4 linked regions of the Arabidopsis thaliana genome follow. The protein of the gene in region 3 interacts with the protein of the main gene of each other region in a pairwise test. Each region holds a gene or a part of one and is shown on either strand. Other genes may lie near its edges. The genes, in order: AT5G11340, ATAF2, AGL12 and TRY.

What was found.
Region 1: the proteins of AGL12 (region 3) and AT5G11340 interact in a two-hybrid assay, tested with the Arabidopsis thaliana proteins (one large-scale study listed by BioGRID).
Region 2: the proteins of AGL12 (region 3) and ATAF2 interact in a two-hybrid assay, tested with the Arabidopsis thaliana proteins (one large-scale study listed by BioGRID).
Region 4: the proteins of AGL12 (region 3) and TRY interact in a two-hybrid assay, tested with the Arabidopsis thaliana proteins (one large-scale study listed by BioGRID).

What each region holds. Positions count from the first base shown.
Region 1 is NC_003076.8:3,616,411-3,623,124, forward strand, and holds AT5G11340 (Acyl-CoA N-acyltransferases (NAT) superfamily protein), read left to right. Parts: upstream 1-2,741; 5' UTR 2,742-2,815; coding exon 2,816-2,969; intron 2,970-3,979; coding exon 3,980-4,102; intron 4,103-4,440; coding exon 4,441-4,658; 3' UTR 4,659-5,101; downstream 5,102-6,714. Other genes in the region: AT5G11330 (FAD/NAD(P)-binding oxidoreductase family protein), read right to left, coding at 932-1,399, 1,499-1,709, 1,796-2,100, 2,209-2,451; AT5G11350 (DNAse I-like superfamily protein), read left to right, coding at 5,173-5,274, 5,358-5,799, 5,868-6,034, 6,183-6,248, 6,383-6,435, 6,509-6,590, 6,668-6,714.
Region 2 is NC_003076.8:2,857,004-2,862,997, reverse strand, and holds ATAF2 (NAC (No Apical Meristem) domain transcriptional regulator superfamily protein), read left to right. Parts: upstream 1-2,439; 5' UTR 2,440-2,853; coding exon 2,854-3,013; intron 3,014-3,102; coding exon 3,103-3,383; intron 3,384-3,474; coding exon 3,475-3,885; 3' UTR 3,886-4,149; downstream 4,150-5,994. Other genes in the region: AT5G09210 (GC-rich sequence DNA-binding factor-like protein), read left to right, coding at 150-279; AT5G08780 (winged-helix DNA-binding transcription factor family protein), read right to left, coding at 4,188-4,511, 4,616-4,703, 4,796-5,577, 5,666-5,815.
Region 3 is NC_003070.9:26,950,898-26,957,520, reverse strand, and holds AGL12 (AGAMOUS-like 12), read left to right. Parts: upstream 1-2,393; 5' UTR 2,394-2,581; coding exon 2,582-2,763; intron 2,764-2,860; coding exon 2,861-2,966; intron 2,967-3,814; coding exon 3,815-3,876; intron 3,877-3,963; coding exon 3,964-4,063; intron 4,064-4,160; coding exon 4,161-4,202; intron 4,203-4,326; coding exon 4,327-4,368; intron 4,369-4,516; coding exon 4,517-4,618; 3' UTR 4,619-4,976; downstream 4,977-6,623. Other genes in the region: AT1G71691 (GDSL-like Lipase/Acylhydrolase superfamily protein), read left to right, coding at 6,041-6,356, 6,462-6,583. UniProt on the Arabidopsis thaliana protein: Probable transcription activator that regulates root development by controlling cell proliferation in root meristem. May mediate responses to auxin in the root. May act as promoter of the flowering transition through up-regulation of SOC, FT and LFY.
Region 4 is NC_003076.8:21,580,351-21,585,957, forward strand, and holds TRY (Homeodomain-like superfamily protein), read left to right. Parts: upstream 1-2,263; 5' UTR 2,264-2,562; coding exon 2,563-2,626; intron 2,627-2,919; coding exon 2,920-3,007; intron 3,008-3,441; coding exon 3,442-3,610; 3' UTR 3,611-3,893; downstream 3,894-5,607. UniProt on the Arabidopsis thaliana protein: Transcription factor. Involved in epidermal cell fate specification. Negative regulator of trichome development, including endoreplication, by lateral inhibition involving intercellular interactions.

The sequences.
Region 1 (6,714 bases), on a different chromosome or scaffold from region 3:
ATGGTATTTGATATTGTATTATTTGAAACCACTAAAAATAATAATTAAGAAGAGACGATGGAATCTTTTTTCCTTTTCCTTTTTTTTTTCTTCTGAAAATCTTAAACTGTTTTCACTTTTTCTACTATATTTTATCTTGCAAGGCCATGTTAAATGTGATTTTGAAAACATGATATTTTTTTACATAATATCTTATCCAAAGTATGTAGGAGCTAAAATGAGCAACATTACGTAAAATCAGCAACTCGACTCCTCTCATGTCTTTCTTTAAACATTTGTGATTTTAATTTCAATTACAATTACTGTAGTATTACTAATTTTAGTTCCTACAACTATGATGTTCTTTTTAATTGTAGTAGTAAGATAAACAAAAAATAAAAAGAAGTTTAAACGATGGTCCACACTCCACATACCACATACCACATTCTTTACTAATGCATTTTGTGCGACGCATCACATGATTCACTTAGTGTTTTTGTTTTTCTCCAGAATGAACAACTGAAAAAGGTGTATAATACATATGTATAATTGTCCCAAAATATAATAATATGTCTAAAAATAGTATCCACCAATCACCATGTAAGAATCAACGGCTTCTGCGTTGACCATTATATTTAAATATGTCAACCTGTAAATAGAAGACAAAAGCGTCTGTAGTCCAACGGTTAGGATAATTGCCTTCCAAGCAATAGACCCGGGTTCGACTCCCGGCAGACGCAATTTTTTTTTTTTCCTTCCTTTTTGACAGTGAAAACAAATTTTCTCCTGCTTTGTGGATTCTAGGGTCACAAAACTGATTTTTTTCATCATTTTTATATAACTTGTATTTGAAGTATCCATAGTTTCTACATTAACGTTCCAAACAATATGTTCAAGTCTATTAAACACACAATTATTAACATACAACATCTCTCACATCAAATATTTATCACTAGATAAGGGGAGCACAGGAAAAGAATGGCATGTTTCTCTGCTCCAAACCAAAAACGCCATCTCCAATTCCGTCATGATCCAGACCTTGCTTGATACGCCCCAAACGCCTTGCATACAAAACTTGCTCAGAAACAACAGGCAATCTTATTCTCTGATATTCCTCAAGACCCAAACTTACATTCTCAGGTCCACAGTTCTCTAAGCATTTGCCTAGCACTTCCGCATCAAGTATCGACATGTTTGTGCTTCTTAGACCATGAGGGGTCGTGGGATGAGCCGCGTCTCCAACCAACACGATGTTTCCCCAAAAGATTCGTTCTAAAGGGTCAGAGTCGTAAATAACATTAAGGAAAGGATCCTTTGTTTCACTCATGAGTCTCGCTAGTTCGGGGATCCAAATGGTTTCTGCTTCTTGATGCATCTTATTGATCATTTCTTGACTCACTTTTAGAGTAACAGAGTTGCTCTGATATCGTAATTCCATAACAACAACAAAATAGAAATCAAGAAAACTACACTTGTAGACGCATCCTAATCAAAAAGAGAGAGGAATTAGTCTTCTTACTTTCAGGTCAGGCTCTGGTTGATTGACATACCAAATCCAGTTGAGTTTCTTGTTAAAAAGCTCGTAAAACACGCTATGAGTCTGTTCACCGAGATCAAAATACAAGCATTTTCCAAGATCCGGATACACTTTCTTAATCCCACTAACTGTTTCCGAGTTCTCATTCCCTGAGAAATCAAATACACCTCTCCAAGCACAATAACCAGAGTACCTTTCACATAAAACGAAAAAAACAAAATCCTATATGATCAAGTCCACAAAATATCGATAAATGAAGATCACACTCTTATTTCAAACCTCAGTTTAAAGTCAGGCAAGAAAGTTTTCCGAATCGAAGACAAACACCCATCAGCTGCAATAAGTAAGTCTCCTTCAATTTCAACAGTTTCTTGAGTTTCCACAACTAAAGTCTTAACCTTTACATTAGATTCATCTTGTGACATTGTGAAAGACAGAAACTTATGTCCCCAAAGAAACATGGTCTGAGGCAATGCGTTATACAGAAGAGATTGAATATCTGACCAATAAGCTGCTCGGAAATCAAAATCCTCATCTCTTGTTAAAATCCTTGTCACTTTCTTCTCACTATCAGTTGTCTGATTCTACAACAAACCCACAACACACAAAAAAAGTTAAAAACTTTAGGTAGAGCTGGAAAAACTAAACGCCGATTGTTTCAATTGTCGAACTAAACTCAGTGTTCTTATTACCTGATCAATCGAGAGAGGCAAGGTGATTTCATCTAAGAGCTGTGGAGTAGTAAGCCATGATTTGATGATCTGCCGAGCCTGAGGGTCGAGTCCGAGCCCAGCACCAGTAGGACTCCCAACAGGAGGTTCGGAAGATTTCTCGAGAACCAAAACATCCCAGCATGCTAACGTGAGCGAGTGTGCGCAAGATAAGCCTGCTATACTTCCTCCTACTATGATCGCTTTCCCTTTCTTCTTCCCCATCTCATCAAATCAAATGTTTCTTCTGCTTCACAAATTGTTAACGATAAGAGAGAGTTTCAACTTAATGAAACCTCTGGGTGGATAAGAGGATTAGAACTATGTGGGATGATTCCAGGCCCAATATTCCAAGCCCAATCGTTTGGTCATATAAATAAGAAACTGATCTCTGTTGTGCGTCAAAACTATGTATTAGAATTTCATTTTGTCCAGGCCCAGAATGAATTATAGGCCCAATAGTCTATTCTCTCTCCCACGAACATTATTTATAGATTTTTGGGTTTCCCCTAAATCTCGAGCTTTTTCTTCCCTTGATTTCTTTGGTCTCTGTCCGTACGACGTCGAATATCTAGATTGTTCGACGGCGATGGGAGCTGGGAGAGAAGTCAGCGTATCGCTAGATGGAGTCAGAGACAAAAACTTGATGCAGCTTAAGATACTCAACACGGTTTTGTTCCCGGTTCGTTACAACGACAAGTACTACGCCGATGCAATCGCTGCCGGCGAATTCACCAAGCTTGGTTCGTCTTCTTCTTACTTGATTTTTCTTAATTTCTGTCTCTCTTTGCTTTCCCCAGTAATTCCTGCTTAAATTTCTTAATGGGCATGTGCTATTACGATTTCACGGGAATGTGCCTCTGAATCAGAACTAAAATTCATCGAATTTTGGTATTTTTGCTCTCAGATTTCTGTCTTTTTACCTGAGCGAGCATTAGTAGTCGAGTTTGTTCCTTTAATAGGAAAAGTTTGCTTTGGGGGGTTTATGATGAACTGTTCTGTGATTAGGCTTGGTATACTCTACAAAGAAAGTACCTTTTGCAATCCTGCTTTCCTTTGGTTGTTTGTTTAGTTGGTTCACTGGTCATTGTAATAGGTGTGATTATCTGTGTCTTCTCTTTTGTTCGGTTCCGTGAATTTATTTGACTGAGCCATGTTTTATTTAGGTTCAGTACTAGTGTCTGATACTAGGAAGAAGATGATTTTATCGGTAATATTGGTAGAAGCCTTCTTTCTAAGCCTTGAATGGATCGATTTTGTTTGCTTTCTATTGTCTGTTGTTTCGTAATTACCGATTCATGTTTGAACTTTGTGGTTGATGACATTGATGTTGACAAAGTATCATCTTGATCGTTGTTTTAAGTTGTTTGACTATATGAATACTGCATTCTTTTGTTCAACCAAGCAAAATTTTTTGTATGTTAAGCATGTGTACCTTGTAATCTATCGCTGATTGACTTATATTATCTTTCGAGAACATGGTCCAAGACTAATTTTCGTATTCACAGAATTTTTTCAAGCTCACTTTTGTGAAACCCTTGGTTGGAACATCTTTTGCGTCAACTAGTTCTTTAAATGTACAATAAGATGTGATTATGAAAGTCTAAAGACTGTTAACAACGTCTTAAATTTGGTACTAACTATTTCATTGCAGTTGCTTGGGTAGTTATGTTCTTGGTGTTACATATATTTTCTCTAATTTGTGATCAAGGAAAATTCTTCATGTTCTAATAATGGATTGACTTCCTCTCAGCATATTACAATGACATATGTGTTGGAGCTATCGCCTGTCGGCTGGAGAAGAAAGAAAGTGGGGCCATGCGAGTTTATATAATGACGCTTGGTGTTCTTGCACCCTACCGTGGGATTGGCATTGGTAAGTCATAAATCTGCTGTGCAAAACTTGAATACCGACAAAACATGAATAATGAAGAAAACTGTTAGCATGTTGTGTAATTCTGTTGTTTTCCTTACGTTTTAACACATGAGGCCAGCTGTAGTATGTTTATTCTGTAGTTCTCTATTTGAAGTGTCTCCATTTAGAGATTCAAACCACCAAGAAATAGTCCTTAGGGTTTTATGCATATCGTTGTTTTACCGAGAAACTGGAATTATGATTCCTCCTATATCAAGATTTAAGATCGAATTCCCTGCTTTAGAAAGAAAAACTCGATGTCTATAATTTGTGTATCTTGTTTTTTTCGTCTTTTGCAGGCTCAAATCTATTGAATCATGTTCTTGACATGTGCTCCAAGCAAAACATGTGTGAGATATACTTGCATGTGCAGACAAACAACGAAGACGCAATCAAGTTCTACAAGAAGTTCGGCTTTGAGATCACAGATACCATACAAAACTATTACATCAACATTGAGCCAAGAGATTGCTACGTTGTCAGCAAGTCCTTTGCTCAATCTGAAGCCAACAAATGATGAAAAATACCAAACTTGGGGAAGCCATTCCTCCCCAGTTTCTTTGTTGCATTCAGTTCAAGATCTATTAATGTTATGATGATCCTTCGGTTTCCGAGTTTTGCTTGTTTTGTTGACCTTAATTTTTCTTACTGATTCTAAATTTATAAATTCCTGGTTATATACTTGCATGATTTCTCTAATGTCCTCTTGGCTTTGGACATTTTCGTTTGGAAAAGTTTTTAACTTTGCAACTCAAAGCTTTACTACCAAGTATCATCGTGTTTGTAAATGTTGGTCTATGAATTTGAGTAAAGAGAGACAATGATTCTTGTTATGAGCTGTAGAATAAAGTAAAGAAAAAAATGAAGAATTTATGACTTGCGTTTTGGCTTGCGTGCCATTTATTCACAGTGAAGACTGGAAGATGTGTTCTTCTTGAATCAAAAAACGGCACGTCTTATGAGTCTCCGTTCATCGGTGTCTGCAATTAAGCACCGGTTCCTCGAGCTTCCTCACTCAATTCGATTGACCAATGCGGCGTTCTCGTTTTGTTGCTCAAGTTTTCTCCGACGTTACCTTCGCTGACGCCTCCACTATCTCTGCTCCAATCTTCACCATGTCTACTCGTGCTCCGGTAAATTTTCTCAGCTATTCTCTTGTTCTATCACTCCCGCTGCGTTGCTTCGGTTACTGGAATATAATTTGTTTCTTACGAAGCAGTACAGAGGTGCCCGAGGACGAGGACGAGGCCGAGGTGGGAGAAGTTTCTCCGATCGTCCGTACAATGATGACGCGGGAAGAGATCAGTTCGTTACTGGAGATTCTCATTTTCAATCAGTTCATGACGCCAATTTCCGATTCCGGCATGGTGAACCTTATCGACAACATCAGCCTCCGCTTGATCAGCGGCAGCAACCACCGTTCAATCAGAATTACGAATTTCGACCTCCGCCGCCGTCACGAGGTCAGTGGCAACAATTCCGTCAACCTAATCAGTTTCCGTCTAATCAAAACTACGCGGCTTGCCCTCCCCCTCCGTTCTATCAAAACCAGATGTCCCGGCCGCCTCCACAGCAGAGCTTTCGTCAACGGCCACGGTCAAAACCTTCAGATTACCGTGAATGGGAATATGCCAAAACGCCACCGTCTCCTGGCTCCGGTAATTTATGCGTGACCATCTCATTTGCTCCGGTATACAATTTTTGATTTGCTTTCTCTTGTCTACAGAAAAGTTTGTTGTTTTATCGTATAATATATTGGCGGATTACCTTGCAAATGATCACTGGAGAAGTCTTTACTTTCACATACCGAGGAATATGTTGAGTTGGGGATGGAGAAAGAGCAAATTAGTGTTCGAGCTTAGCCTATGGTCTGCAGATATAATGTGCCTTCAGGTTATAGTTTCTGCTATATCTTCTTGGTAATTGCTTGTATGAGGGACTAAGGAGACAAAACTTTCTTGCTTTACTATTTTTTTATCATATGTATACAGAATGTATCTTCCATATGTATAGTAATCTAAAATTATTTTGTATATGTCAGGAAGTTGATAAATTTCAGGACTTAGAGGAGGAGATGAAGCACCGGGGATATAGTGCTATTTGGAAGGTAGGTTTGTTGAAAACTTTTAGTTGTCTTGAGTTTGTATTCTCTACGGACTCTCTTGGAGTAAAGATTAAATGGTATGCATCATAAGAACTAGGCTTCAAATGTGGGGTTAACTCTATTTTATAAAACTGTAGATGCGGACTGGTAATGCTGTTGACGGATGTGCAATATTTTGGCGATCCAATAGGTTTGATTCCCTTGCTCTTCCTTGTGTGGATCAGTCTGGAATCTTGTTTAGGATTTCATTGTTATCATATTAGATTCAAGTTGGTTCACGAGGAAAGCATCCAGTTCAATCAACTTGGTCTCCGAGATAACGTTGCTCAAATATGTGTGCTTGAGGTAATATGGATACCTTATGTTGATAGTGACTTATATACATTTGCCTCTTTGCCCTAAATTAAATTTGCTCTGTGTAGACATTGTTGACTTCACATACAAAAGAAAATGAGACCCCTCCACCTGA
Region 2 (5,994 bases), on a different chromosome or scaffold from region 3:
AAAAACGGGTCTACGCACGTCCAAAGTATCATTAACCTATCTTCATTTGGTTCCCCATGATATCCACATCTCAGATTAGGACATTACCACTTTGTGTTGCAACTTTGCTTTGATGCATACTCACATGCATGTTTTATTTGATTTTTCAGTCATCTGCTGCAACCCCTTGTGGATTGTACTCTGACACTTGGAAGAATACTCGAGAAAAAGGTTTGCCTCGGGACTGGTCGATACGGAAACCACTGGTCTCGCCCGCAGGTTAAAGAAAATACTTGTTGAGCTCCATGAACATGGACACGCTGAGGAAATTGTCAGATCATTCAGTCTCTAGGAGGATGTTGATCTCCAGCTAACCGATCCGTTTTCCGTAAGGATAAAAGTTATTTAACAATGAATTCGGATTGGATGTTGATCTCCAGCTAACCGAAACCGTTTTCCGTAAGTGACCCAAAATTAAGGCCCAAACGTGACCCATTATTTCCTAAGTTGTTGTGTCGAGAAAGACAAATTGGGCCGATGTTTTTAAGTTGCGGTGACGAATTGATTGAGAGAGAGGGACAAAATGGTGTGACAAATGGATGTATTTATTTGATTTTTTTTTTTTGCAATTAGCAAGTAGTTTGGTTTTTGAAGAAACTTTGCAAGTTGTTTATTACACACGATTATAAGAGGTATGAGCTTTGAGTAAATTCGATTTAGAAACTCGGAAGGTTGGAGAAATCTATCATAAACTTATAATTCACTACTCAAACATTCCAATTAAAATGCTAGAATTAACTACAATATATGCACGGTTTCAAACGAATGTTATATAGTAAGACTTTTGTCATACGCACGCACATAAGAATAAGACAAGTAGTCATATGAATAGAGAATAGTATGTAGTATATGTGATACTAATTGTTGTTAACGATAGGTTCTAAGTTCCGACAATGAGGTCCCAAGTTGTCTCCTCCTTATCCAAATTCTCAAGTATATTCCAATGTAAATTTCTAGAAACGACAAAACATAAAGGTAATAATCCATCACCAAAACATTATATTTGCATAATTTGGGTCAAGTTCGGCAGCTATAACATCAAGCTCCACGAAGCTTCCTATTTCAATTCACACCGCGACTAAATTAACAAACAACTGCAAAAAAACTATAAAGTCGATTTCTCTCTTTATCATAAAAATTCAGATCAAGTCCAGATCCAATTGATCTGAATTTTATAATAGGAACAAATCATGCGTTACGATGTCTTTTATATATTTTCTTGTTTTCTTTTTTTGGTTTAATATTAGTGGTCATATCTTTTATTCTAGACTTGACTGTTATCATCTAAAACGACAGAAAAAAATGAAGTCGTCAGTGCACGAAAATTATTTAGCTAAAAGCCTAAAAGATGTGTATGAAATGATACGACTTATATAACTTGCATTCTTATATCGATAAAGAATCCTTATTGACAACAACAAAAAGTCATGTTTGACCACAAATATTTCGTATTATAATTAATTTGGCTACTAAGGGACTTTTAATAGTAAAAGGAAAAGACCATGATCTTATAAAACATTACGTTGAATCGATCATAATTAGTTTATAATATGATAGAAAACGTAAGTGATGATGATCATAAAACGGGGAACAAGCCCACGTCATGCTTGCATACACACCTACCTCAACTTTACATTTAAAGATTTTAAAATAGAAGAGGATTCATGGGCATTATTTGCTAGTGAATCAAACTTATGAATTATAAATTAAGTCTGTAATGAAAGCGGCTCAATGGGTACTTAATTAAGGATTAAGCTAGTGGTTAAATAGTTGTCCTTAACACATATTTTTATGTAACGGGGAAACTCAAACTAAAGCGCAAACGCTTTCTTTGCGAACTCCAATGTTTTTATTTATGTGAATGTAGTATTATTAGTCGAGAGTATTTATAATTAGTGACTATGATTGGCGATTGCAACTTTAAATGACGTCATCCATCATGACGCAAAGCTTCGCCTGAAGAAGGAAATTAATCAGCTGCGGAGATGCTCACCGTAGTTTCATCAAACTGTCCAATCACCAGTCAAAACTACAACTTCCGCCCCAAGAAATGCTGACTTATCTTCAGCAAGGTTACAATAATGTGTCAATTTCAATATCATAAAAAAGTAGTGGCTGCTGAGATTTTTCTTTTTAAATCTTAGTGGTAAATCTTAGTGGTAAGTAAAGGAACAAAAGCGATAAGCTACACTGAGAAGCAGGAGATTACGGTTTGACATATAAAGGCATTTCCATCTACGAGAAATCCACAAAATTTCTCAAACAAAAAAAATATTAATATTATATTATAATTTAATTATTTAATTAAAAAAGTATTTTTGTTAAAAAATTGAACCAATAGTAAGATGAGAATTGTCATGATGGGTTGTAAAGTATCTCAAAGTTTCTCAAGTAAGAAACTTTCTACACTCTCTTTCCCAATGGAGATGGTCTAAAGTCGGTCAACAATTCACAAAAGGTTTAAGTGACGCAAGCAATGACAACATCTAAGTCGACTATCCAATAATATTACGCCACGTATATATCCAGCTGGCTGCGGTCAGCGTAGAAAAGAAAACGGTCTGTTTTGCCGCACGTGCTTGAAAATCCCCTCGTGTCATCTCTTTTCTGTTTTTTGTGTTTTTTCAATTTAAATTAATTAAAACATTTCGGCGATTTTCGTCCTTATAAAACCTTCGTCGCCTCACTCACATATCCTCGATTACAATCTTGAGCAGACGAAGAAAACCCAAAAAAAATCCAGATCCAGCTGAAATTGAATTTTCAACCAACGAAGAAGAGATTTTTCCAAGAGCAACAGACAAGAAGAAGAGAATGAAGTCGGAGCTAAATTTACCAGCTGGGTTCCGATTCCATCCAACGGACGAGGAGCTTGTGAAATTCTACTTGTGCCGGAAATGTGCTTCCGAGCAGATCTCGGCTCCGGTTATCGCCGAGATTGATCTCTACAAGTTCAATCCTTGGGAGCTTCCAGGTACACCTATGGGCTTCTTCTAATTATTTTTCGCGAAATCATGTGTCTTCGAGAATCGTTGTTTATTGAGATGTTTGTTCTTCTTTCAGAGATGTCTCTGTACGGAGAGAAAGAGTGGTACTTCTTCTCACCTAGAGATCGGAAATACCCAAACGGTTCGCGTCCTAACCGGGCAGCAGGAACCGGTTATTGGAAAGCTACCGGAGCAGATAAACCGATTGGTAAACCGAAGACGTTGGGTATCAAGAAAGCACTCGTCTTCTACGCAGGGAAAGCTCCAAAAGGGATTAAGACCAATTGGATAATGCATGAGTATCGTCTCGCTAATGTTGATAGATCAGCTTCTGTTAACAAAAAGAACAACCTACGAGTAAGTTCTGTTTCTTATTAACTTATGTATCATCTTTTCGTGAATGATGATTTAGATTATTAACTTTGTTGTGGTGGGTTTTGCTGTACAGCTTGATGATTGGGTTTTATGTCGAATATACAACAAGAAAGGAACCATGGAGAAGTATTTCCCCGCGGATGAGAAGCCGAGGACCACGACAATGGCTGAACAGTCATCATCACCTTTTGATACATCAGACTCGACTTACCCGACATTGCAAGAGGATGATTCCAGCAGCTCAGGTGGTCACGGTCACGTGGTGTCACCGGATGTTTTGGAGGTTCAGAGCGAGCCTAAATGGGGAGAGCTTGAGGATGCTTTGGAAGCTTTTGATACTTCAATGTTTGGTAGTTCCATGGAGTTGTTGCAGCCTGACGCTTTTGTCCCTCAGTTCTTGTATCAGTCTGATTATTTCACTTCCTTCCAGGATCCGCCTGAGCAGAAACCATTCTTGAATTGGAGTTTTGCTCCACAGGGGTAAAAACGGAAGAGACCAAAAAAGGTGTTTGCTAGTAGTACTGTGATGTGCCAGAGAGAAGAGTCTCATCTCAACTCATCCCTGGCTCTTAGTAGTAAAAGAAGATTGTAGAATGTTAATAGCTTTTAGCATCAATGTCTCATTAGCAGGCACATTCTTGTTCTTTCATGAGAAGTTTATATGAAAACTAAAAATTTATATTCAAATTCTTCAAGATGTTGCACTTATGTAGATACTGATATTAAATAACAACCTAACCTTTATGAGATATCATGCTCTCCGGAAGCATTTTTTGATGAGTATCATCAGCTGAATCGAGGCGATTTCCTCACAGCTGTTATTCCTATGTCTCTGAGACTTTTGATTCTCGTTTTCTTGACCTGAGGTTTCTTTTTGGAAGACTTCTCTCTTTCCTTCTGTTCAAGCTGTGTGGAGGGTTTTTCAGATCCATTATTCCCACGAGGAGTCTTCATTTTGGGATCCTCTTTGCATAATCCTTTGCTTATACCTTCGAGTTCACATCCTGGAGATACAGAATATGGAACCACGGTTTCATCACATGAATCGATGATCTCAGAGAGCTGGCTTTGTAACTTTTGGGCAGCCTTCCACAGTTCTCTGCAGCTTTCCTGTGGATAAAGAAAAGGAGACAACAAAAAAACATTCAGAACCTGTTTTTCATCAGCTCAAAAACATATCAGTGACATGACGTAACAGGGATTTTTGTCCTCACCATTGATAAAGGCAAACGAGAAACATCATCAATTTCTGAAACAGCTTTGTTCTGCTGGTCTTTCTCTTTGCACTGTTTTAGCATTTTCCTATTTTTCCAACCCCAAAGAGAAACATGAAAATCATTAAGCTAATTCAAAGATGAATAGAAAAACAGGCAACAAAAGGGATCAGAGCTTACTCTAGAGCAATGATATTGCTGCATGCTTCGGTTTGGCACTCCCAAAGTTTTTTATATGCTTCACTCGTGACTTCCACATTTTCTTTCGTTGTGTTAGATGTTCTGCGCAGTTTTGCTTTTCTCACTATTGAGCTTGTTTCCATTGCTTCTTTACCCGACTCTTCCATCAACACATCATTCTGCTTATATAGAACAGCCACTTCATATAATTCACCTCCTCTACTGTTTGCTTCAATCCTAGCTTCATTCTCACTATTTTCTACATCTACTACTTCAACAACTCCCTCTTTCCTAGGAATTTGAACAGTCGAATCCCTTAAACCTGCTTTGAATCCATTATCTTCTGTGTCCATTACTTCAATGACGTTAATGACACAACATGCTTTACGTTTGGAGCCGGTTCGGGATTTAGTCAAACTCTGTTCTTCCAACAAAACAACCTTAGGATCCCCAGACTTCAAAATTTCAACACTTTCTTCCTTGTTTTGGCAAGTCATAACCTCATCCGCCGCACGCTGATCATTTGTTCTCACTGTTATCAGATCGCTCTTTCTCTGAACATCAGTGGAAGCAACAGTCTTCTTCTCACCCGGGAGAGAGTAACAGTCGTTGTTGCAGTCACAAAGTATCTCTCTTTTCTCCACAAGCTTAGCTAAATGATGACTAAGCAAATTCGTGTGAGCAAATGGCAAGTTCTTGTATTTCGACTTTATAAACTCAGATATAGCATCTTCACTTGCGCCACCTTCTTTATTCAAATCCATGATAGCAATAAATATCATCTGAAACAAATGTATACAGTCATAAGAACACAGCAGAGATATGTATGTGTGTATATGCACATAATAGATGTTATAATTTCATACATACAGCGGAATAAGTGGGATGATCAGGAGTACGGGATAAACACAGATCCAAGAATTTCTGTTGGAAGAGTTTAGTCTCAGGAAGGGAAAAGTCTCTTGAATTCGCCAAATTCACCATAAAACCTCTCAGATTCTCAACTTTTCTTTCATGTGCCTGTTCGTCAACAAAAATTGTTCATAGTTAACATTCAGTCAGATTCAATGCATAAACAAGTGCTCAAAATTGTGGAATCAAGCAATTAAACTTATGAACAACTCAAACATTACATGATCGTACAAATTTTCCAACGAGACTTAGAGGAGTATACAGATCCATAAAAACTACCATCAGAA
Region 3 (6,623 bases):
ATACGATCTTGATCGAGCCAATGAGCGCAAAGATGCGAGGAAAAAGAAGCAACAGATCGATCACACACTTTTTGCGTTTTGCATGTTTGATGCATTTTGATTTGACAAAGATTCTTTATTTACTTCCTTCTTCCTTACTTAAGCTGACCCTCTTTCTTAAAGTTTAAACTGTTTTTAGAACGATCAATCATTTCAATTTTGGAAGCATCGAAATCAAAATGTCCAAAATACATATTTTGACAGCGAAATATTTTGACTAGATTTCAATAGTTTAGAACTTTGGTTCCACACCAGTTTATGTTGTAATGGCAAATGTAAATTATTTATAGAGGAATCCCATTCTAATACTATTTTGAATACTAACCTTGGCCTTTTCAACAAAAAAAATAAATCGAAATGTGTACAATCACCACGAAATTATCATATTTTTTAGTTATGGATTCTGTAAAGATGGATTAAATTAGTTAAAGGGAATATACTCTTACATTAGCTATATTAAAAAAAAAAAAAATTAGCTGCTAAGGGGATTTAGTCCATGGAAAATGTTATTTAATTCTAGTTTGATTAAACCTTACTTTCTTCATGGTGAAATTTAAATTTGATGATATAATCCACGCTAAAAAATACCATCGTAAAAAACGTTGCTAAAAGCTGTGTCTTTTTTTTTTTTTTTGGTAAAAGAAGCTGTGAGTCTTTTGTTATATGATGAGTTAAACCGCTCACAGAATACCAGTTAGTGACCTTAACCAAAAAAGTTCCATCGTTACAGAGTATCAATCTATGTTTCAATGTATTATGTATTTCTTTGAAATATTGATGTCGAATATAAGGTGGATTTTCTACTCAGAAATAAGAGAAAAATCCCATATTCCAAGAAAAAAGTGAGTTGAAAAACCCCGTAATGTTGAAGAAGAATAAGATTCAGGAGTTTGTTATGTAGACCAAAGGCAAAGCAAGATGGTCAAAAAAATATTTAGAAAGGAGAAAAACGACCTACTTAATCAATTAACAAGCAAAAAGGTGAAATTCAATAAATTAATACACCTAACAAAAAAAAAAGGCTACATTGGCACCTAACATGGGCAGGTCATTGGTTCTCCACCACGATGAGATGCACATGATACCCGCTTTAATATGGGCTAAGTATGCTTAATGACCATCACTTAATTGTTCTTTTTAGTTGTTAAAATGGGTTAAGAATTCCACGTCGTTAAATGTGAGAAATGTATAATTCAATACAGAATAAAAAGCTCGGACGAAAAAAAAAAAAAAAATACAGAATAAAAAGCTCACCATGGATTTTTAACATGACATAATAATGATGAGCAGTTCTATATATACCACAATGAAAATTCTTTGTAAACTTCTTTCTATTAGTCTGCTTTATATTTTCTAGTAATCGAATTTCATATTTAGACACTAAATAGAGATCATGTGAGTTTCAACTCTAGATCAAATATGGTTCGTTTTAATAATAACAAAAATATATACATATAATATATTTTGTTATTATTCGGACGGTAATTCGATAGTGTAAATACATTAAACTTTTGCTTAATCAATAGAGCAAAAACCTCCCACTTTTTTTTTTTTTTTTGATAACTTCTTGTTTATTATTAGTTGATTTTAAGATGAAATTTTATGTATTTTTAATGATTTACATCAAGTCATCAACCCAAAATAAATATATTCGATCTTTGGATCCAGTTAAAGTAAATAAGATATGAGAGGTACGTGCAGAGATATATTCAGAACTATACATTAGTAAATATAAGAGGCAAAATAAATGATGCTATGAATAAAGATGCTATGAATGTTTAACTAGGAACAGAACTAGTTTTTGTTTCATTGTTGAACTCTTATTTACTCTAAATCCTTCACATAATAACGCTTTGTTTATAAAAAATAAAACAAAGAATTCTTTTTTTAAGAAAGTGAATCGCATGCCATTTGGGAACTCAATCTTTTTTTATATATATAGTCTTGCACATATCAAATCCAGCCTCCATCTCTTGGTGTAGAATGTAAATTGTACCAAATTAGATTGTTAAATATATTTGGATATTGTAACAATAGTGCATGTCAGGTCATATGTCACATCAGATGTAACATCAATCAATCAAAAAGAAACCTAGGAAATTATACTACAAGCTAGAGGAGGAAGGGATAGTACAATACAAACCCCTTATAATAACAAAGAAAGACGGAGCTTTCGCATGTAAAGCTATATACTATTGTATGAATGCATACTTAACATATAACGTATATGAGCGCATACATATATAAGGGAAAATGAGGCTGATGTGGAAAAGGTGCTTTAAGAAGCAGTGAAGTTAGTGGGAGAATATGATAATGGAGATTATATATAAAGACAAGAAGGTGGCATGAGATTGGTAATAACTTCACAGTTGTCTCCGAAGAAACAGAGAAACCAAAGAGTTAAGTGGGGAACCTCGAAGCTAGTTCAAACTAGTGGGAGGTTGTTTCACGTTTCAACTTTCAAGTCATAAAACCAAATCCAACTCTAAACGTAAACCCAAACGTCAAATCATCAGATAGAAGGAAATATTCTGATTGAGAGATGGCTCGTGGAAAGATTCAGCTTAAGAGGATTGAGAACCCGGTTCACAGACAAGTGACTTTTTGCAAGAGGAGAACTGGTCTTCTCAAGAAGGCTAAGGAGCTCTCTGTGCTCTGTGATGCCGAGATCGGTGTTGTGATCTTCTCTCCTCAGGGCAAGCTCTTTGAGCTCGCTACTAAAGGGTACGTATTATATCATATATATATCTTAGTGTTCATATATATACATGTGACTAAAGAGTAACATATATTATATATGTAAATCTGATTATAAATTCAGAACAATGGAGGGAATGATTGATAAGTACATGAAGTGTACTGGTGGTGGTCGTGGTTCTTCTTCTGCTACTTTTACTGCTCAAGAACAACTTCAACCACCAAATCTTGTACGTCTACTTTCTCTTTCATTCTCATTAATTAGTATCTACTTTCATCGAGTTTTTCTTTATTTTTGGGATTGATTATCGTATGTGTTTGTTTTTTTAAATAGAATTTTTGGGTTGATATTAAAACTAGTGCCTCGTCGTCAGTAGTTTCACTTCTTTCCATTTCATTCTTTTAAGGGGTAGTTTAGTCTTTTTGTTCCATAAACATTATTTTAGTGTGCAACATGCTAACACGTGTTGACATGCAGAGGGAAAATCTGTTGGACGTTGTTAATTGATTTGAAATTAAAATACTCAGGGAAGTTAGGTAGGGCACCTGATTCTGATTCTATACATGAAAATAGTTAGTGAAGTACAACATTCATTGCACCTAGCTCTCCAATTCTCCGAATTTTTAATTTGTTGACTACTGAGAGGAACTGACATTGTTGTGGAACGTTGTACTATCATAAAATAGTTACGAAACAAGTCAAAGTAATTACTGTTAAAGTAAAAGATGCTTAGAGACAATGTATTACACTTTAATTAATATTTTATATCTCTGGTTATTCAATCGCATTGTGTTTCGGAATGAAGTAGTATTATTGGTTTATAATCAGCACAATCTTTTAATAAAAGTTGATCTGACCACTTTATAAAGGTTGCCCTAAGGCCTAAACTATAGTTATTGACACGCTTTGAACTATTATTTTATATATTGATGCATATACGTATTTCATGTTTGTGTGTGTGTGTACCAACATGGGTCACTATTTGTAATTCGACATCTTCAAAAAAATTCACCCGCTTTTAGATATGTTTACAAATAATGTATAGAAACATTGAAATAAAAGTTTATAATTCTCTAGGATCCGAAAGATGAGATCAACGTGCTTAAGCAAGAGATTGAGATGCTTCAGAAAGGGATAAGGTATACTGATTATTTGCATGCTATCTCCTTACTTATGGGTTATAAATTTATACATATATGAGTAAATGCATTTAAAATGGATTTCAGCTATATGTTTGGAGGAGGAGATGGGGCTATGAATCTTGAAGAACTTCTTTTGCTTGAGAAGCATCTTGAGTATTGGATTTCTCAGATTCGCTCTGCTAAGGTATGTATACATGTTTTCATGCATATATTTAGTGCAAATGTTAGGGAGAGTGAATATAAAATGATTGACTAGAAAAGCTTTTATGTAAAATTTGCAGATGGATGTTATGCTTCAAGAAATTCAGTCATTGAGGAACAAGGTAAGCAAAAAAAACAAATGTTTTTCAAAAAAAAAAAACACATTGTATATTCAGCTTTATAGCAATTATATTAAATTAATGTAAATTTTTAACAGTTTTTTTTTTTTTTTTTTTGTATTTAAAGGAAGGAGTCCTCAAAAACACCAACAAGTATCTCCTCGAAAAGGTAACAAAATCAGTTGTATGATCTCATCATAGCACAACTTATGAAACTTCTATCAGCAGAATTATCTAGTCGCACTATTCAGATGATCTTTAGAGTGTTTTGCTTAGCTATTGTCTAATGATTTATTTTGTTGGTGAATTAAATGCAGATAGAGGAAAACAACAATAGCATATTAGATGCTAACTTCGCAGTCATGGAGACAAACTATTCCTATCCGCTAACAATGCCAAGTGAAATATTTCAGTTCTAGACCATAGGGTATTTGAAGACTATGTCTCACGAATTTAAATAACCTTGGTAAGTATAATATAGTGTTGTTAAATCACACATAATTAAAATAAAGCCTGTGGAACTTCGCTAGGCAGTTGAAAATCTATCCGTATGTTTTATCCTCTTGTTTTACATTTGTTGGTGTGAAGATGAAATGACTGCAAGTGTGGTGTGTACTTATAACTCTTTCTACTTTCTATCTATGTTTTGAATTTATGGATTATTTGGTTTTGGGTTTAACTGAAGATACCTAGCCTCTTTTTGCAGTGTATATTTACAATGTTTTTTTAAATTAATAATTTTACATTGTTATCCATGATGAAAATTATAATGTCGACAACTCATACTTTATGGAAAATAGAAATTCGACACAACTAAAGCTTCTCTGATTCGATTCCATAACGTAACTGATCATGTCATGAAATTTGAAACAAATCTAGAAATGTGAAAACTTTTTGTATCTTAAGTTCTTAACATACGATGGGACTATACATTTTATTGGTTTAAAAAGACTACCATATTATTGGGTCCCGCGTATATGATGAAGTCAAAACATTAAAGTCAACCCTAAATTTAATGACATGCTAAAATCTACAACCATCATTTGTAATAGAAGAGGCTTATTTGTTGCTTTTTCTGCCCTCGTCTTCGACATAACTGGTCTTCACGATTTGACCGTGACAGCTTATTAAACGTCTTTGAGAATAACGACGATTTAAATGCAATGTTTTTATTTGGTAAGAAATGTTTTTTAATAAATCGCTTCTCCCTGGTTTACTTTCCTCTTTCGATCAAATAGTTCATCATGTACAGGAATTTTATATGTGAAAAAAAAAATACAGGAATTTTATATAATGAGCTTAATGAAATCGATTGTTTAAGTAAATGATATTTTTTTTAGTTGTGCTGGCTTGCATTTCACCAAATCAATAATTATGTCATCCTGATCATATATTTCAACTTAAATACTTTTGTTAAACTAATATTAATTATAGAATAAAAAAAGAAAAAAGAATGAATGATTGTTTTGGTGATACGGCCTAAACAGTAAACACATCATAAATTGGCACACACATTTTGTTTTGCATCTCAATTCTAAATATGTAATTTTCAAAATACACTAATTGCTAAATTTTCCGATAGCTACAATTTAAACGTTTCTCAAAAAATCTGGCTATGGAAAATGACATGTTTACAATAATGTTAAGTAATATTGTAGACAACTCACCTACCACTGATTGTGTTATTACGGTGTGGTAGAAGACGGATAAATACATTTATTACTCTTCACCAAACCCTTCTCATCTATCTATAAATCTGTCCAAATCTATTTGTCTCTTCACCCCAAAATCAACCTACAAAAGTTAAAAGTTACACCTTACTAAACACAAACAACTTCATAATGGCTTTCCACTTCCGGCGACTTTGCTTCTTCTCAGCTCTTCTTGCCGTGGTTCTCCAACTCCTTCATGGCGTCTCTGGCCAACTAGTTGTGGTTGAGGAACCTATTTCTGCTCCTCCGCCTCCGCTGGTCGACCTAAACACCGGTGATGGCATTGTGCCGGCGCTGTTTGTCTTCGGTGACTCTCTAATAGACAATGGGAATAACAATAACATTCCTTCCTTTGCCAAAGCCAATTATTTTCCTTATGGCATTGATTTCAATGGCGGTCCGACCGGTCGATTCTGCAATGGCTTAACGATGGTCGATGGGATTGGTAAGTTTTCACTCTATGCATTATAATAAGTTTTCCTTCCTCCTAAAACTGGAACGAGGCTGATATAAGTATTATATATGATGCATGCATGCATTGATCGTATAGCTCAACTATTGGGGCTGCCACTGATTCCGGCCTACTCGGAAGCTACCGGAGATCAAGTACTTCGTGGTGTCAACTATGCTTCCGCAGCCGCGGGGATTCTTCCTGACACCGGAGGAAACTTTGTAAGTAGCTTTTATGCAAAAAAGTAAATCAATTCGTAAG
Region 4 (5,607 bases), on a different chromosome or scaffold from region 3:
AGAAACATTCATTGGACCACCTTAAATGTTGTCAACAATGTTGTTAACCAATCAAAACATCTACAGTTCAACAAGTTTTATTATTTGATTCGAGCTTTTACTTTGTGGGGTTTAAATTAATATTTTAATGACCCAGGTTTAATAAAATATAAAATACTCCTATATACATGCATGTATGGGGGCACTCGTATAATATGTGTAATCATTCGATACGTTACAAATAAATATATGTTTATTTAGGCCTAAGAATGTTAGTTGAATTGATCTACCAACAGCTGCAACCATGTTTCAAATCGGTTCAATATTTCTTTTCTTTCTCTTATAACTTTCTTATTAACTACAAAAATATTCCTTAATAGCAGTTCTTTTACGAGTAATCTATCTTCTTTTCTTGTGTAATATCAAATTTATTGTTCAACCAAAAAGAATAATTTGTACAAGAGTTTTAATTTTAATTAAAGTGGAAAGAGAAATGGATAGTGATTGCTATTATGAAAAATCTTTCTAGGAGGCAACATGTCACATCTTTGTTGTTGTTGATATAATCAAATAATAGAAAAGGTAATCACATCTTTGTCCTTTTGTACCAGAATTTTAGACATTAGTTTAGCTATGCAAACCAATTTCGTTCTTTTAGCTCCAAACTAAAGACACATTTTCATTGATGCATTCTTCGATATCGAATTGATTTGTTTATCAAAAGTTTATGAAAATCATTTATATTGCTATATTGTATTTAAGCTTCGAGTAAAGAGATATTTTACCAACTAGGCTTCCTATTAAAAAAATTCCAAATCTATCACATAATACACAGTTTCTATGCAATGAGGATGATGCGATATACATCACATGACTCGCCTCACACGATGTCTTTCGCCGTAGACTACAGATTTCTTCCGTTTAATCTTTTATCCAATTATGAATTATCTGGTAGGGTACTTTATATTTTGAAAATCTCTTTCGTGAGAATATGATAGTAATTGTATACTTTCTTACAAAATTTATTGAGAAGCGTACTTTATATATGATGTTTCTCACTCGAATTAAATACGTTAGTTTAATGGGTCGATTCAGATTTATAATAGATTTAAATATTTCGAAGAAAACGCAAATCAGGGATTTTGGTTGTATCATGTGTGAGAGATTGAATTTCTCCAGAAGCACTCATTAAATCGCGTGTGTAAGGAGTTGCCATACAGCGTCGTATGTAATGTCTTAGTCACTGTTCTAGAATTAAAACATATGTCAAATGTAGAATTAAAAAACAGGGGTTAAAATGTTAAATTATTCGGAGAAGTGGAATTATTATATTAAAAACATTGTGTGATTTTGGGATAAAATCTGAATCATGTTTTTTATTGTGCCAAAAAATTTCTGTTTCAACCTCTTCGTGGAGATGAAAGAAAAGTCAATCGGGAATGAGACTTCTTGTATAACGAATGAAAATATGAACATGTTGATTAATGAATTAATTAACATACGTACTATATTAAGTGGGAATATTAGGTATAGGCCTTCGATTTTCCGTTTTGTTTGGTTTTTTCGATTTTAATAATATTTCTCTAAATTAAAATAAATTTTAGTTTGGTTTATTTAAAATATTAATAAAATAATATAAATAACTATCTAATTAATATATTAAAAAGTATTTTCTATATATATTGATATAAATATTATTCCCATGTTTTATATTGGGTGACGTTATCTTTTAAGTAAAGTTGTAAGATATCTAACTTATTCCTACATTATAATAACTATCAAAATAAAATAACTAATTGTAGTGACAATGATGACTATCAAAATATGTATGTGTTTTGGCTCAAACATAGCGTTTAATAACAAACACAATGGACAATTTTAATAAATTTGATCGATTAGATTTTGTTTCATTTTCATGCACTAGATTAAGGTTCGAATTAGATTCATTTTAGTGTATATAGTGAAACTAATTTGTTACTATATGGAAAAAAAAATAAGTTTATTTTTGGTTCAAGAATTTTTATTCGGTACGGTTTGGTGTGTATGTCCAACCCTGAAAAAAAAACTTGAAAAACTAATAACCTAATAACAACTAATTTTCTTAGAAATACAAATTGGACTTGAATACAAAAATGGAAAGAACAACAACAAATCAATAACTAAAACATCGTTGAACTTGCATCTGCCAAATAAAAATCAATAAATCCCATTATTCTAAAAAGATAGTAGGTTTAGAAAAATTGAATAAATGGAAAAAAAAAATTGTTAGGATCTACGAATGAGAACAAAGTTAGCCTTCAAAATACTTACAAATCCCAATAAAAGACTTCATCTCCATGTGTATTTGAGTGTCAACGACAAGTCTACACAAAGGGTAAGAGGTCAACAAGACCACACAACACTTCTTACTATTAGTTTTGCAAAGGCCGTTCGTTGGACATTTCCTTCTCTCTCCTCCCCTCTTCTTCTTCTTGTTCGCTCTATAAACTCTCATCTCTCACGTCTTTTTTTCCTTACATTCTCCAAACTCAAAATTTCATCACATTAATTTCTCTCTATTTTTCTTTTCTTACTTCAATAGTAATGGATAACACTGACCGTCGTCGCCGTCGTAAGCAACACAAAATCGCCCTCCATGACTCTGAAGGTACCTCTCTATTCTCTATATATTTTCTATTTCCTAAATCCAATTTTATTAAACATCTTGAAAATAAATTTAGTTCCTAGCTAGGATCATATTCTCTTTGTATATATTCGTTAAAACGAGGGATACGTTTAATTACTTCTAAATTAGTTACACCTCGTGCTGACTAAAAGACTTATCAAGATTAGTTTCTAGTTTTAACAAAAATTAATATCTTTTTAAAAAGTTTATATTTGTCTTTTTTTGTTAGTTTAATATTGTTTTGAGTTTAATTGGTTTAATATTGTTATTTGCAGAAGTGAGCAGTATCGAATGGGAGTTTATCAACATGACTGAACAAGAAGAAGATCTCATCTTTCGAATGTACAGACTTGTCGGTGATAGGTAACAATTTCTTCTTCTTCTACTTTTTCTAAGATTATCCCAGCATAAAATAAATTTTATATTTTAGACATGTCTAGCTAAAACAATTTAATATGCAGGTATATACAATTTTACATACGTTAATTTAAGCATATGTACTTTATAACATATGTACAGTGTACCATGTTGTAGGGGAAGCACATGGTGTCCACTAATTTTCTAAAAAAAGACATTTAATTAAAGCTATCACGTTCATTAAATTATATATGTACACACATATATATAGAGATAAAAATAAGAACCTAATTTACTATTCTTATCAGTACGTACTCATGTATATAAATGCTTGGCTGGCTCAAAAATGGAAATTTTTGAACTGACAAATTATATTTTATTATGAAAATATAAATGCTAATGCTTGGGATAAAAATGTTTTTTTTTTTCTTTTGAATTAGGTGGGATTTGATAGCAGGAAGAGTTCCTGGAAGACAACCAGAGGAGATAGAGAGATATTGGATAATGAGAAACAGTGAAGGCTTTGCTGATAAACGACGCCAGCTTCACTCATCTTCCCACAAACATACCAAGCCTCACCGTCCTCGCTTTTCTATCTATCCTTCCTAGTGTTTTTGTTTTTAAGCCAACGAAAAAAGAAAATAAAAAAATTATAATAGATGTATAGTAGTGGTTCTTGTTAGTTTGAAGAATTCATCATCTATTGTTTTCTTTTTGTTGTTATTTCATTTATAATTTTTATAGTATAGGTTTCATTTGGTAATCAACTTTAATCCATGCGGTTAGGTTTTTTTATTTTCTCGTCTACGACTTTTATATCCACAACTAGATTTTAATCCGCGGTATATCGCGGTATAATTTACTTTTTAAAGTTAATATATATTAAAACTTGCAAATTTTATTTTTATAAAATATTTTTATTTTACAGTTTATAATTGTTATTAAGTAACGCTATACAACGAATCCATGAGACAATTGTTAAAAAACTGAAGTTTTAACCCTTACTAAAACAGCATATTAATAATATTTTAAAAATTTATAAATATTGATTCAAATACATCCACCATATAACTCAATTCCAAAATAAAATCTGTTCTGTAATTTCTTTACCCATCCCGTGATTTATTTTTAAAGTAGTAATTTTAAAAATTTGAGAATTATTTATTACATATAAAAGTTTTACAAATTGTATCATTCTCTAATACATTTATATTTTATAGTTTAATTTTATATATAGTAACATTTTATATTTTATATTCTCTAATATATTTTATATTCTCTAATACATCAGTAATTAGAAAGTAAAAAAAATTGTGTATTAGATTTAGTCCTTTGAAAGAACTTATCAAGAGGAAACTGATCATTTGTGCAAAAATGGTTGGGTAATATTTTAACTAATGACAATAATTTTAAATAGTAAAAAAAAAAAAAGAAATACTCCATTAGTTATAGTTGACTAGTATATTTTGAAGAAACTACTTAAAAAAATTATTACAGAATTAATGACATAATGTATCTATACTTTAAAAAAAATGTAACTAAAATAAAAACCCCGATCCAATTCTAACCAAAAGTTATGAACACTTATTTTCACAATCACTTAAATATTAGGTGTTACATGCTTGCACTAGCTATATATATGTAGGACTATGAAGTATGAAGTATGAACTTAATTTTTCTATAAACGTTTTAAGAAATAAAGAATCTATATATAGTATTGCCTTTCATACAAAAAATTATCAGTTTGAAAACTTTCTACCAACACGATAAAAAGTACTATATGAGATCATCCTAAACGTCTATTTAAAAAACGTGATTCTCATTGGTAAACGACTAATGAACGGACGGTTTGCGTCTAAAACTAACTTTTCATGGACAGGATTTAACGGATAGAATTTTCCATTATATGATTTTCATGATTACGAACCAAACGATTCAATTCTTCAGCTATATGTCGTTTCACATAAACTCACAAATCACAATCTTAGTTAAAGCTTTTAGGCCCAATAGTGTCCCAATTATTTTAGCCCATTATTTAACAAGGTACGACAGATTATCAACGTCACTCGACCAATACAAGTAAAGGTAAAACTATGGGCCGATAAAAAATGCCCAATTTCAGTTTTTACAGCCCAGTTGTAAGTTCACCAGTAGTGGATACACTGCGTTAGGACTATCCATTTCAGAGAATGTATTGATAATTCGGATATCTACAAAGTGACGGAAAAAAAAAAAAAATCGGATATCTACAAACTACAATTTGAATAGCTAGGGATATTCACCACCATCAGTTTTGGGGTTTGGTTGATCTCTAAACCAGCCACACGAAGTTTCACAGTCAAAAGTTTTAAACCCAACAATATGTTGATGTTGAACATGGATGATTCGATGTTGCATCTAAATGTTGAGATTGGATGCAACATCTACAAAAAAATATGAGCATGGCTATAATTTTATTATAAGCTTAGTTTGTGTAAAATCCGAATTTATTGTGGTTTAAGTTGCATATTCCAAATTAGTTTGTGCACAGACTTGCCTTGCATAGTTGCATAACAACAATTAAACATTTTCTCACATCCCAAACATGATGTAAAATATGATTCTAC